Canis lupus familiaris: one gene and its partners. The protein of the gene in region 1 purifies or fractionates together with the protein of each later gene. This does not show direct contact. Links are inferred from orthologs where the notes say so. Each region holds a gene or a part of one and is shown on either strand. Other genes may lie near its edges. The genes, in order: CCT8, PDCL3 and TLE2.

Region 1 (3,646 bases):
GAAGACAGAAAATAAGGGCTCTAAGCCACTCACTCCCTCACCAACAGCAGCAAGCACAGCTGTTAGTACGGGGGGTAGAACAAAGCAAAGTTTCTGATCTTGCAAGCTTACAATTTATGGGGGAGGAGGGAGCACGACATGGAGACAGAAAACGCACAGCATCTATAGAAGTACATACAGCAGGTATATTTATACATCTATACAAATACACACAGCAGGTATGTTTACATAAGCTAAACTCAACTGCAATTTTAAGTCTTGCTATAGGAAACACAGCATTTTTATTTATTTTTTTTAAAGATTTTATTTATTCATGAGACACAGAGAGGGAGAGGCAGAGACACAGAGAGAGAAGCAGGCTCCATGCGGGAAGCCCAATGTGGGACTTGATTCCAGGACCCCAGGGTCACGCCCTGAGCCACCTAGGCATCCCGAAACACAGCATTAAAAAAAAAATACTCTTATTTCAATACTAACATTAAGATGTGAATTCTATTATTGTAGAGCAACAGAACTTTATCTCATTTAAAACTGGCTTCTAAGTTTGTTTTAATTTAGCACATATGAAGAATGCAAGACTTATAATTTCCTTCACACACTACTCTCAACCTTCAAGTTGTCACGGAACAATGAGGACTTTATGAGGAGATAACAGATCAACAGTCTTTAATAAAATTTAACCAACTAATATCAAAATGTTACAAATGATACCTCAAAAGGCACAAAGTTCTAAATGTTCAAAACCTGGGGTAAACTAGGTTTAGGTGAACACCAACATTTTTTCTTTTTGTAAAATATAATTGACCTATTTAGACAACACTGACGCATTTTCTCAACTTACCAAAATCTTACAAACTCTGATGTTATCAACATTGAAATGGCCGGAATCAGGAAAAATAGACACTGTTAAGAAAATGAAACCTATCAGAGAATATATTGGGACAACAGAGCAAACATCTTAAGTCTCATTACGACATTTTTATTTTGGAGCTTTTCATCTACTGATATACTCACCACATGCCTGAGCAATAAGCTTGGCCAGAAACACTTCATTACCATACTGTTTACTCATTATGGAGGTGTGAAGCAGTGTAGACACTTCATCAACATCTCGAAGGTTTTTAGCAGAACAACATACTAAATCAGGAAGAATCTCATGGGCTTTTTTGCAGGCTATTTCATAACCTTCTATGACCTTAAATAGAAACAGCAAAAATATTTTTTCAAGACATAACTTTGACATGACTTAAAAAAAAAACAAACTATTTTGGCAACCCTAAGAATATGGGTATTTGTTTTCCACATAAAACGAGAAAGTATACTTTCAGAACAGCAATCATGGCACAGCCCACTAATCAAGAATGCAGGTTTTTATGATGGCCTGAATTTGAATGCTAATGTCACTTGTTAGCTACAAGATTGTAAGATTTTTCTGTTTCCCTTTCCTCATCCAAAATAAAACAATTTTAATAGGCCATATTCAGGGGGTTCTTGTAAGGATAGAGTAAGATACTGCATATAAGGCACATGTACAATAACTGGCACAGAGTAAACTGCTCAACGTTAACTATTCCTACAATGATGATTCCTACAGCACCTGTATAAATAGGCACAAGTTAAACAGGAGTACATTATAAAATGAACACTTGCCTCTGAAACGGACAGGCCAATTCTCAAAAGCTCTTCGGCTAGTTCCAGAAGGGCTCCAGCAAATACCAGGACAAAGTTGGTGCCATCTCCAACCTCTTGCTCTTGCATGTGAGAGGCCATTACAATCATTTTTGCAGCAGGATGCTGTACCTGGTAGAAGGAATTTGAATTTAAATATCAAAACATTTGATACTTAAAGCAACATGAAGTTTTTCATATTCATTTCTTCTTAAATCAACAGACTCCAATCTCCCTGTGGGCTAGGTAACTCCATTCAATCACGATGCTACATATTAATTGTAGTGTGGTCACAAGAAAACAATCCAAATCCCTCTATGATCATCAGCACAGATGCATCAATACAAATGAAAATCTAAAACTGCATCTTTTTTTGATGGTCAGTCATCCACTACGTACATCTCTGCATATAAAGTTCAGAAATTTATTATATGCAAAAATAAAGATTTATTTGAAAGAGAGAGCATGAATGTGTGTGCATACATGAGTGGGGGGAGAGGGACAGAATCCTAAGCAGACAACCCACTGAGCTGGGAGCCCAATCCCATGACCGAGCCGAAATCAAGAGCTGTATGCTTAACCAACTGATCCACCCAGGCACCCTGTTGCTATGGTTTTATTAAAGTAATATTCCCATATTCCCTGAATAACCTCCGATCATCAGTGTCCAACATTAACACTCACAATGACTAGTCCTTCCAGAAACATCTTGTGGAATTAAATTTGTTCACATTTTAAAAAAATACATTGTTATTTAGATAATCAGAGACATGTTAATGTATCTACAGTTTCACTTGAAAAAATTAAGCTCTGATGCTTTAAGAGCTAAGTTCAGGAAAATTCCTTGAAGTTGAAAGTATCTTTCAGCTACAGAGCAGTCAGATGAGGAATGGCTCTCAGATGTTCAGGTGCCAGACCTTTCTCACAACCTTACCAGTAGTTATCTGTTCTAGACTCTTTAACATCAAAACTGCAGGTGAACAAAGCAAAATGCCACCAACTATTTTCACAAAGCCGAAGAAATAGTTTGTATTTTTTTTAAACCACTGTCTTAAATATCAGCTACTTCTGCATTATGGAATTATTCACTTCAGTGTCCTACTCTATAGAACGAGACAACATACTCAATTTGATATAATGAGCAAATGTACTTTTATCACAACCAATCTCTCCATAAATTAATAACTTGGGAGGCTTTCAGATCTAAGTGGTAAGATGTTAAAATTAAAGACTCCATAATTAGGGAAATCTGTATAATAAATATTCAAGTTGAGGGGGGAAAAGTGCCTCATTATCCTAAGAGGTTTCTTCTATGTTAATATATACTTAATTTTTGACATCACCAAAACATTTCTTGCTTCGAAGAAATAACTTACTTCTAGTTCTCTTAAAATAGTGGCTGCATCGTTTGTCACAAACAACTTCTCTAGGTGGTTGATAACCATTTTGTTCATTCCTTAAAGAAAAAAAAAAAAAGGCAGAACAAAGAATCCATTATCACTCAAATCTTTCTCCAAACAACCCAAAAACCTAGTCAAGAAACAGAAGTTTGTATCTAGTTCTTAAAATAACCTTGTAAATATTCAAAACATATTACTTACTCTTTAAAACTACATTAGCCTAAATGCACCTACATATTATTCCTATCCTTTCTAATCTCCTAACATTTACTAAGAAGGATGTCCATCTTATTTTTGCTCAATAAATGTAAATTATGTTAACATGTAGAAAGAACAAAATAATCTACTTAAAAGTAGTTTTACTGCTTTCCATATATGCGTATCAATTAAATTCAGCTGATGGTAGTAGGGAAGAGAGAACTTTCTCCCTTATATTAAGTATCATTCCAAGGCACCAATATGAAAAAAAAGGTAATATTTTGATTCCTGTTTTTCTAGAGAGATCTGAGTTGTTGCTTAAAAACCGCTAACACTCCACTGATGGAAATGAACTATGAAATTACTTCCGTGTGATGGCT
Region 2 (4,234 bases), on another chromosome or scaffold:
AGAACAGGGATGTTTTGTCTGGTCTGTATACAGCAAGAGCCCCAGTGCTTAGAATAACACCTGGTAGACAGTCATTATTCAATAAACATTCACTGGATAAATGCTTTCTAGTGAATTCATCTCTAAATTAGCTCTAACATGGAAGAAGACAAAAGTATTGGCCCCTGTGATCAATGGGGCATTAAGTCAAGACTCAGAAATATTTTCTTCAGGATTATCAGGTGCTCATCTGATACAGACAAGAAGCTGTGGAAATGTGGAAATTCTACAGCTCAGGAAGTTGAAGGTTAGAGGACAGCCTGTGACACACTTAAGGTCCCAGAAATAGTGTCTATCCCAGCACTCCAATCCCTGGTTCCCAATTCCTGCTCAGAACATCCTTCTACCAAAGCAGTTAGAGGCTTAAAAAGTTGTTTCTTAATCCACAGACAGAACAAATAAAGAATATAAGCAATCTCACCAACTGACTGCTGAAGGACTCGCTGTTCTTCTTCTTCTGCCTCCTTTTCCAAATCTTTCAAACTTTCCTTTGAGGGCAAGATGCCCTTTTTGCGTAAGATGTCATTCCACTCAGTGTCTGCATTAGGGTCCTGGGGGAAGTGGACCAAAAATACTATGAGTGCAAAGTACACTACAAAGGGTGCCATGTTGGGGAAAGGGTTGAATGGGAAAGGTGGCGGGAAGAGGAATTCAAACCAAATTATTCTGTGGCCTATTTCTGAGAAAGTGTCAAAAGATCCACCAGCCCTGTTCTTTTCCTGTTCATTCAATTTCACCCTCACCATGCAAGACACACACCCAGTAAATAGCCTTTGGTAAAAATCAGGATATGATGTGCAAATCAGTATCAATTCTCACACCAGGACTCTAACCTGGCTTCTATTTGATATTTTTATTAATGCTTCAGAGTGATTCATTCAACATATACTAAATGCTTGTGGCAAGTGTAATGATCAACAAGCTGTCGATCTAGAGAGTTGTAAGAGGTCTGCATTCCACAGAATGGGTAGGGATATTGTCTCAGAAGTAGATATTTAACCATCACTGAAAAGTGAGAAGGAAGCAGACGTGAGGAATGATAACTTAAGAAATTACTTTCCAGGCAGAGGAACCAGCATGTGCAAAGGGCCCAAGAATGGAGATAGGAGTATCGTAAAGTTCTAAGTGGCTCCAGTAGAGTCAGGAGGAGGAGAGCCTGATCCTAGGCTGACAAATTCTCAAACAGCTCAACCTGAGAGGAAGAACGGAGACCCCTTGGAATAGCTCACAATGGCTAACGCCTACTGAGTACCAGGTGCTGGGCACTCTCTGAAGCCCTTTACCTGGACCTACTTAGTAAATCCTCACAAGCCTAGGAAAAGATGTGACATTTAGGAAGACACTGTCATACTGGGACGAGTCAAATTTACCAGGATCAAATGTCAGAAGGATACATGTCAAAGTGGGCTCTAGCTCCCCAAACTAGCGAGTCAAACACTGGTTTTGCCTGGCTTGGCTAGAACACTGCTAATGGACCTGGTCTGGCATAGGAACTCCAAGAGCACTGTGGAGAGAGCACTAAAACAGCCAGGCTGCAGCCCCAACTCCACGTCACTGTCTTGCTGAGATCTATCAAAAGAAAATGAACAGAATCCTTTCAACGGGGTGGTCAGGGAAGGCGCTCAAGAAATGACATTTCAACGCAGGGTTCTAAGGGACAGAGAACGCCAAGGAGGCCAGGGCAGCCCTGGAGCTCTCTCTTCCCCACTCCCGAGTGTCTGGCTTCTGGTAGACACACTCTATTTGTAGACGCTTATCCTGCCCAGCTCCCAAGCAAACCCACACTAACTCCATTTGTCATGTGCCACTTAGCCAGCGAGGATTTCATCAGAATCCCTAACTACAGTGAGGTCTAGGAAGCAGCAGGATGACCTCTGGCAAAGGGTCCTTCGACAAGGGGCAGCATTTAGTCCGAAACTTTTGCTAATTTCCATGATGTCTTCATTTTCTTTCGCTGTAAGTTTGTCCAATTCCATTAGAAAATTTCTGATACGAAAAAAAAAAAAAAAAAGAGGACAAAACTAGGGGGTTTGGTTTTATCTATTTTCAGACAGTAACTGAGAAGGACCTAGGGCTGAGCTGGGAACCGGGGAATCGGAGAGGGGAGCGCACCTCAACCTGCACACCAGCGCGAGGGAGGGAGAGGATGGGACAGATCCCTCACCCGGCTCCGGCTCCGGCTCCCGCTCCGGGTGGGGTCGGGGACACGGGCTGCGACACCGATTACGTCATGGGATCTCCAGGCGGGACCGTTCCCTCATCCGCCTCAGCTTCCACATCCACACAACGGGCCCCTGACACACTTGCTCAGGTGCGAAGAGAATTAACAAACAGGAAGTAACCCTGTCAGGTGGGATGGGCGAGCTGTTCACACACGCCACGGGACGGCCCCAAAAGCCTGAGATTTAGGGGCGAGGCCCACGGGGTGCGGGTAGCCAGCCCGCGGCGCCCGGCGGGACCACGCCCGCCCTCCCGCACTGCGCCTGCGCCTGCGCTCCGCCTAGGCTCGCGTGACCTTTCTTGCGCCGGTGGCGCCCGGCGCTCCCCACGGTCCCAGCCCAGACGGTCTGCCGCTGCCACGGACCCAGCGGGGCAGACGCGCTGCGGCCCCCCCAGGCCTCGGCCCCCCAGGTTCTTTACCTGCATGGTGCCCAAAGTTGGTCACGCCAGGCGGAAGCCGTGTCCCCGCCCCTCAGCTCTCTGCGCATGCGCCCAGCCGCCACCCCCCCCTTCCAGCCCGGCCTTGGCCCCGCCCCCTAGCAGAGAGCAGGGCGGAGCCAGGGAGTCAGCGAGACGTCTGCGCCTGCGCCCGCTGCTCTAGAAACCGGCGCGGAAGCTGTGCGCATGCGCATGGGGTCCTGTCAGTGCGGGGGGGCGGTCCGCTGGCGTCACGTGACCCGGAGCCCCTTCTCTTTGCTACCTTATTAGGGCAGGCCTCGGTCCTTGGAAAGGTGGGGCCAGATGGAGGAGGTGCTCGTTGCGAGGTGTCGTCTGCTGCCTCAGACCCTACCGTTGTAAGGAGGGCTCGGCTCCCGAAGTCAGAAGTAGAAAGGTGTTTCAGTGCGCCAGTGTTACAATTGAAAATGATGCAGGGTCGTCCGGAATTCACTCGCTTATCGTTTCAGCGTCAGATAAGGCAGTTAATTCAGACACATACTTACCAGGAGCCTATGTGCACCAGGCACTAGTCTAGGCTCTGCGGATACGGCGGTGATTACGACAGACAAAAAGGTGAAAGTCATTTCACCTGGTTAAGCCTCAGGCGGCCCATCTTTGCAAGTGTTCGGCCCTGCCCAGGCACACAGGAGGCACCGAGTAAACCAGAAGAATCTAAATTGTAAAAATGCAGGTGCTGGGCTCCAGGCTTCTGGCTACACAGCGCTCCGAATTTGAGTTAAGAAAGTAATCTCACTCCTGGGACAGCTGGGCTGACGTGCGGCCTCAGCAATGAAGCAAACACAGAAGATACACATCCGCACATCTGGGAGTGGGCTCACGACTCCCAACGTCGACCCCCTGGGAGCTTTCAAACACTGCAGTTATGCTGGGGCACCATCCCCAGTCAAAAGAGTTGACTGGAACTGGTATTTTCTTGAAGATCCTCAGGTCTTTGCTGCTAACATGCAAAACCAGGGATACAGAGTGAAAATAAAATGATTCCTTGAAGGCAAGGAGCTTTGGTTTTTATAATTTATAAGGATTCTTAATATTTACCTAACTCCTTACCGCAGAATTACAGGTCTCCTGAAATATTTGTTTATTTATTTATCTGCAGCAAACTGTGAATGCATTGTCCCTTGTCTTACTACCAAAATCAGGAACCAGACTAGTTTGGGGTGAGTTTGGCCCTATGCTAAGCTTTGCAACCTTCCACAGCAATAAAGTGGGTGCTGTTATAGCCTTTCTTCACTCCCAGCCCTATTTCCTCAGAACAGGACTCATCCCCACCTGGTGATTCCTCTCTCCAGAGATTGACAAGCCAAAGGCTCAAACTGCACAACCTCCTCTGTGGAAATGTGTGTCTCCCACTTTTGTCGAAGACTCTTACCTTGCTCTAAGTCACAGTCTCTCCCACCTCCCTAAAGACCCCTGTCCATCATTCCATTCAGCACTCTTGGGTCTGGAAAAAATAATTAGGGCTCAGGAGAAAAAAAAATCAGAGCCAAAGGAATTGTAAAAGAAAATAATTGGAAAA
Region 3 (3,646 bases), on another chromosome or scaffold:
AATAAGCCCAGTGACCATAGAATCCGGGCCCAGGGCTGACTCCCGCCCTGCAAGTGTTCCGGCCCCTGAGAGGCGCTGGAGGCGCAGCAGCCCCACCTGAGGTCCGGGCAGGAGGATTACTATGGGAACAACTTTCTCCGCGTAGGAAGCGCCCCGGCACCCACGCGGGGCTCCATCTGTCCCGCCCCCTCCCCCAAATCTTCCCGAGGCCCAGCCCGGCACTTACCCACTTACCGGGAGAGGGAGAGGGAGAGGGAGAGGCGGAGAGGGAGAGGCGCCGGTTTCTAGGCCTCCCCTCCCAGCAGGTTGCTATGGCGACGCAGAGGCTGGGGCTCACGTGGCATCTTCTGTGACCTCCTCCACTCCAGGAGGCCGAGGGGGAGGGGCGCCCGCGGCCTCCCTGTCCACGTGGTCCCCACCCACGGCCCTCGTGGGCGCCTGGGCTTGGGGCAGCGAGGCGGGCTTGGGGAGGCGAGGATGGGCGCGAGGTCGGCAAGGTTCCTGGCGGTCGGGGACCCTCAGCAGGAGGACAGGGCGAGGAGCTCCTCCCCAGGTCCGCTTCCCCCCTGCTCAGGTGTCCCCCCCTCCCTGAGAGACACTGCTCCCCAGAAGCAGGGCGGGCGGGCCCCTACTGGGTGCCAGTCCCTCGTCCTGGGTCCCTGTCCTCCTCCCCCGGTGCGGGTCCTCTGTCCTGGGTCCCCGTCCTCCATCCAGGAGCACACCCTGTGCTCTCCCGCCCCACACCCTGCCCCCTTCTGTCGCAGTGTGCCCTCTCCCTGCAGGTGTGCCCCTTGCTCAAGGCCAGTCTACACCCGCACTAGTGACCCTGTAACCCCTAGCCGTGTAACGCACTGCATGCCTTATCATACGCGTGCACGGTTCTGGCAGCAGGTGTGAGTGCCCCTCCCTGCGCCCGCTGTACCCCTGTGGGCGGGTGCTGTGCCCCTTCCTGCCCAGGCGCCCGCCTGCCGCTCCCAGTGTGCGGACCCTCGCGTGTCCCTGACACGGCAGAGGGGCACTAGCGGGGCGCTCCGTGGCACGCAGGCACATCCCGTGAGCCCCAGCCTAGCTCGCATACACCTGCTCCTTCCTCCCACCTGGTTTCTCACCAGAGTGTGGGCAGCAAGGTGCGGGGCACAGGGGTGTTCAGTCCTGACCTTTCTCCCCAGAACGACCTTCCTGCCAGCACCCCCGCCCCCAAGTCCTGCGACTCCTCCCCGCCCCAGGATGCGTCCACCCCCGGGCCCAGCTCAGCCAGTCACCTCCGCCAGCTTGCTGCCAAGCCAGCACCTTGCACCGACAGTGTTGGTGAGCGTGGGCTGGGGCCCGCCAGACCAGGTCTCTTCTCTGGGGGGTTCTAGAAGATGCTAGGGGTGGGGGAGGAGGGAGGCCAGAATCTGGCCCTGGCCTGGCCTTGGCCCTTTCCGGGACTCTGAGCCCAGTGCTGCCTCACTCTGGACCTCGGTCTCCTCAGGGTCTTGGCTTGACAGGTGGGGAGGCCGAGGCCCAGAGAGGCACTGGTTTACTCACGAGCTTTGGCCCTAGTGCACGGGCCGAGAGGCCTTGGGGTCAGACGGCCTGGGGTTTGAGGCCAGCCTCGGGTACTCATCAGCCCCGACTCTGGGCGAGCGACTCAAACTTCCTGAGCCTCAGATTCCCCATCGTTGACGTGGGGGTGACGGTGTTTTCCGTTTCTGTCCTGTGGCCTGGCCCTGGCTGGTTCTGGGGCCCCAGAAAGAATCAGCCCTGGGACCTGCCCTTGAGGAGCTCCCAGGCATGTGTGACCCGGGCTAGCATAGACAGAGGGAAGCAAAATGGGCGGGGGTGGGGGTGGGGAAGCTTGATGATGTTGCTGGACATCGGCCCAGGGTTTTGAAGGGTGAGTAGGAGCTCAGCAACTGAGGAAGGAAAGCCAGAGGGAAAGATTCTCAAACATCTGGAAATATGACACAGTGTGGTGGAGCCTGGACCAGGGCACAGCCACCCCCAGTGAGCGGTCAAGGCCGTGGAAGGCCGGGTCTGGGTCCGGGGGTGTCTGAAGACCTGTCTTTGTCCCTTCGTACTCAGCCCTGAGGAGCCCCCTGACACTGTCCAGTCCGTTCACCACATCCTTCAGCCTGAGCTCCCACAGCGCCCTTAACGGGGACCTCTCTGTGCCCAGCTCCTACGTCAGCCTCCACCTGTCCCCCCAGGTCAGCGGCTCTGTAGTGTATGGACGGTCCCCCATGGTGAGTGCTCGGTGTGGGGGCACCAGGTGCTATCGGCAGGATGCGGGGGGCAGGGGGCCGGGAGGAGAAACCAATCACATAAGGAGAGACAAGGAAATAGGGAAAAGGACGGGAACCCCTGCTTGGCAAGTACATATGCATGTGGGAGGGTGATCCAAGGGTCCCAGGGGCCCACAAGCTGAATACAAAGAAACAACAGTGAGTGTGCTGCACTGTTGGGAGCAGAGAGCCCCCGCCCCAGGGCTGAGGGTCCCCTTCAGACCCCTGGCAGAGGGCGTGCCATTGCTAGTCCTGTTTTCAGGGACTAATGATTCCAGCAGACTGCGGACGAAGGACTAGGCCGGGGAGAGGACGAGAAGTGGGGTCTCAGGAGGAGTGGGAGGAATGGGGCATGAGACCTGTGAGCTGGGGCGCAGGGGGCAGACCCCTGTGGGCCCCAGAGGACAGTATGGGGACAGATGGCTGAAGTGGACCAGGATGCCTCCAGAGGGAAGAAAATGCCGTCGTTGGGGACATCCCGGCCCCCAGGCTGGGTGGCACCTGGGAGGGATGTTGTAGAACGGAGCTCAGCAAGTATTTTCCGCAAGAAGCCAGACAGTAAATAGTTTTGACTTTGGAGACCGGGTTGTCTGTGTCACAGGTCGCAGCTACTCGCTTCTGCCTTCACAGCTCAGAGCCTCCACAGACAACATATAAATGAGTGGGTGTGGCTGTGTGCTAATAAAACTTTATTTACAAAAAGAAGCAGGGGGCCAGAGGTTGCCAACTCTGGGGTTCTAGGTTCCCTGGGCAGGGAGACTTTGGCGGGAGCCTCTGCTCTCCTATCTGCAGTATGGGTGGAGGACAGGGCTCCTCCTGGGGAGGGGCTGGTGAACCGGTGAGGGATCCTCTGATAAACAGAAACACGGCAGGTAGCCTGGGGGAGGGCAGAGGTGGCCTTCAGTCCCCTGCCCTGTGACGCCCCCTCTGGCATTTTGGCAGATGGCATTTGAGTGTCACCCGCATCTCCGAGGGTCGTCCATCACCTCCTCCCTGCCCACTATCCCTGGCGGAAAGCCGTGAGTATTGGCTCGGGGCTCCCGGCCTCCTGTCAGGTGCTTACCTTGTGGGGCGGGGGGCTGGGGTTCCCGGCTGCCTTTCCAGAAGGTCTCTTTGAGGGGCTCTGGAGAGAGGGGTTATGTAACAAGCAAGATGTAGACCATTGCTTTTCAATGGAGGGGCGCCGGGAGGGGGGTTTTGCCTTCCCCACCCCCACCCCAGGACGTTTGGCCTGTCTGGTGATATTTTGGGTTGCCACGCCCACATCCGGCCTCCCGTGGGTTGGGGCCAGCCATCCTGCTGCAGGCCCTGCAGCGCACAGACTGGCCCCGGCCCCAAGTACCCAGGAACTTCCTGCCGTGGCGGAACGTTCTGTACCT

Evidence for each region.
Region 2: the proteins of CCT8 (region 1) and PDCL3 purify together in Homo sapiens (affinity purification with mass spectrometry; 3 studies listed by BioGRID and IntAct, with this or other methods). This does not show direct contact. The link is inferred for Canis lupus familiaris from reciprocal best matches to the Homo sapiens genes CCT8 and PDCL3.
Region 3: the proteins of CCT8 (region 1) and TLE2 purify together in Homo sapiens (affinity purification with mass spectrometry; 3 studies listed by BioGRID and IntAct, with this or other methods). This does not show direct contact. The link is inferred for Canis lupus familiaris from reciprocal best matches to the Homo sapiens genes CCT8 and TLE2.

What each region holds. Positions count from the first base shown.
Region 1 is NC_049252.1:24,605,754-24,609,399, forward strand, and holds part of CCT8 (T-complex protein 1 subunit theta), read right to left. Parts: intron 3,125-3,646; coding exon 3,045-3,124; intron 1,801-3,044; coding exon 1,651-1,800; intron 1,196-1,650; coding exon 1,015-1,195; intron 904-1,014; coding exon 842-903; intron 1-841. UniProt on the Homo sapiens protein: Component of the chaperonin-containing T-complex (TRiC), a molecular chaperone complex that assists the folding of actin, tubulin and other proteins upon ATP hydrolysis.
Region 2 is NC_049231.1:43,274,120-43,278,353, forward strand, and holds the start of PDCL3 (phosducin-like protein 3), read right to left. Parts: upstream 2,811-4,234; 5' UTR 2,686-2,810; coding exon 2,680-2,685; intron 591-2,679; coding exon 461-590; intron 1-460. UniProt on the Homo sapiens protein: Acts as a chaperone for the angiogenic VEGF receptor KDR/VEGFR2, increasing its abundance by inhibiting its ubiquitination and degradation.
Region 3 is NC_049241.1:56,618,954-56,622,599, forward strand, and holds part of TLE2 (transducin-like enhancer protein 2), read left to right. Parts: intron 1-226; exon of another isoform or gene 227-373; intron 374-1,169; coding exon 1,170-1,308; intron 1,309-2,067; coding exon 2,068-2,228; intron 2,229-3,209; coding exon 3,210-3,286; intron 3,287-3,646.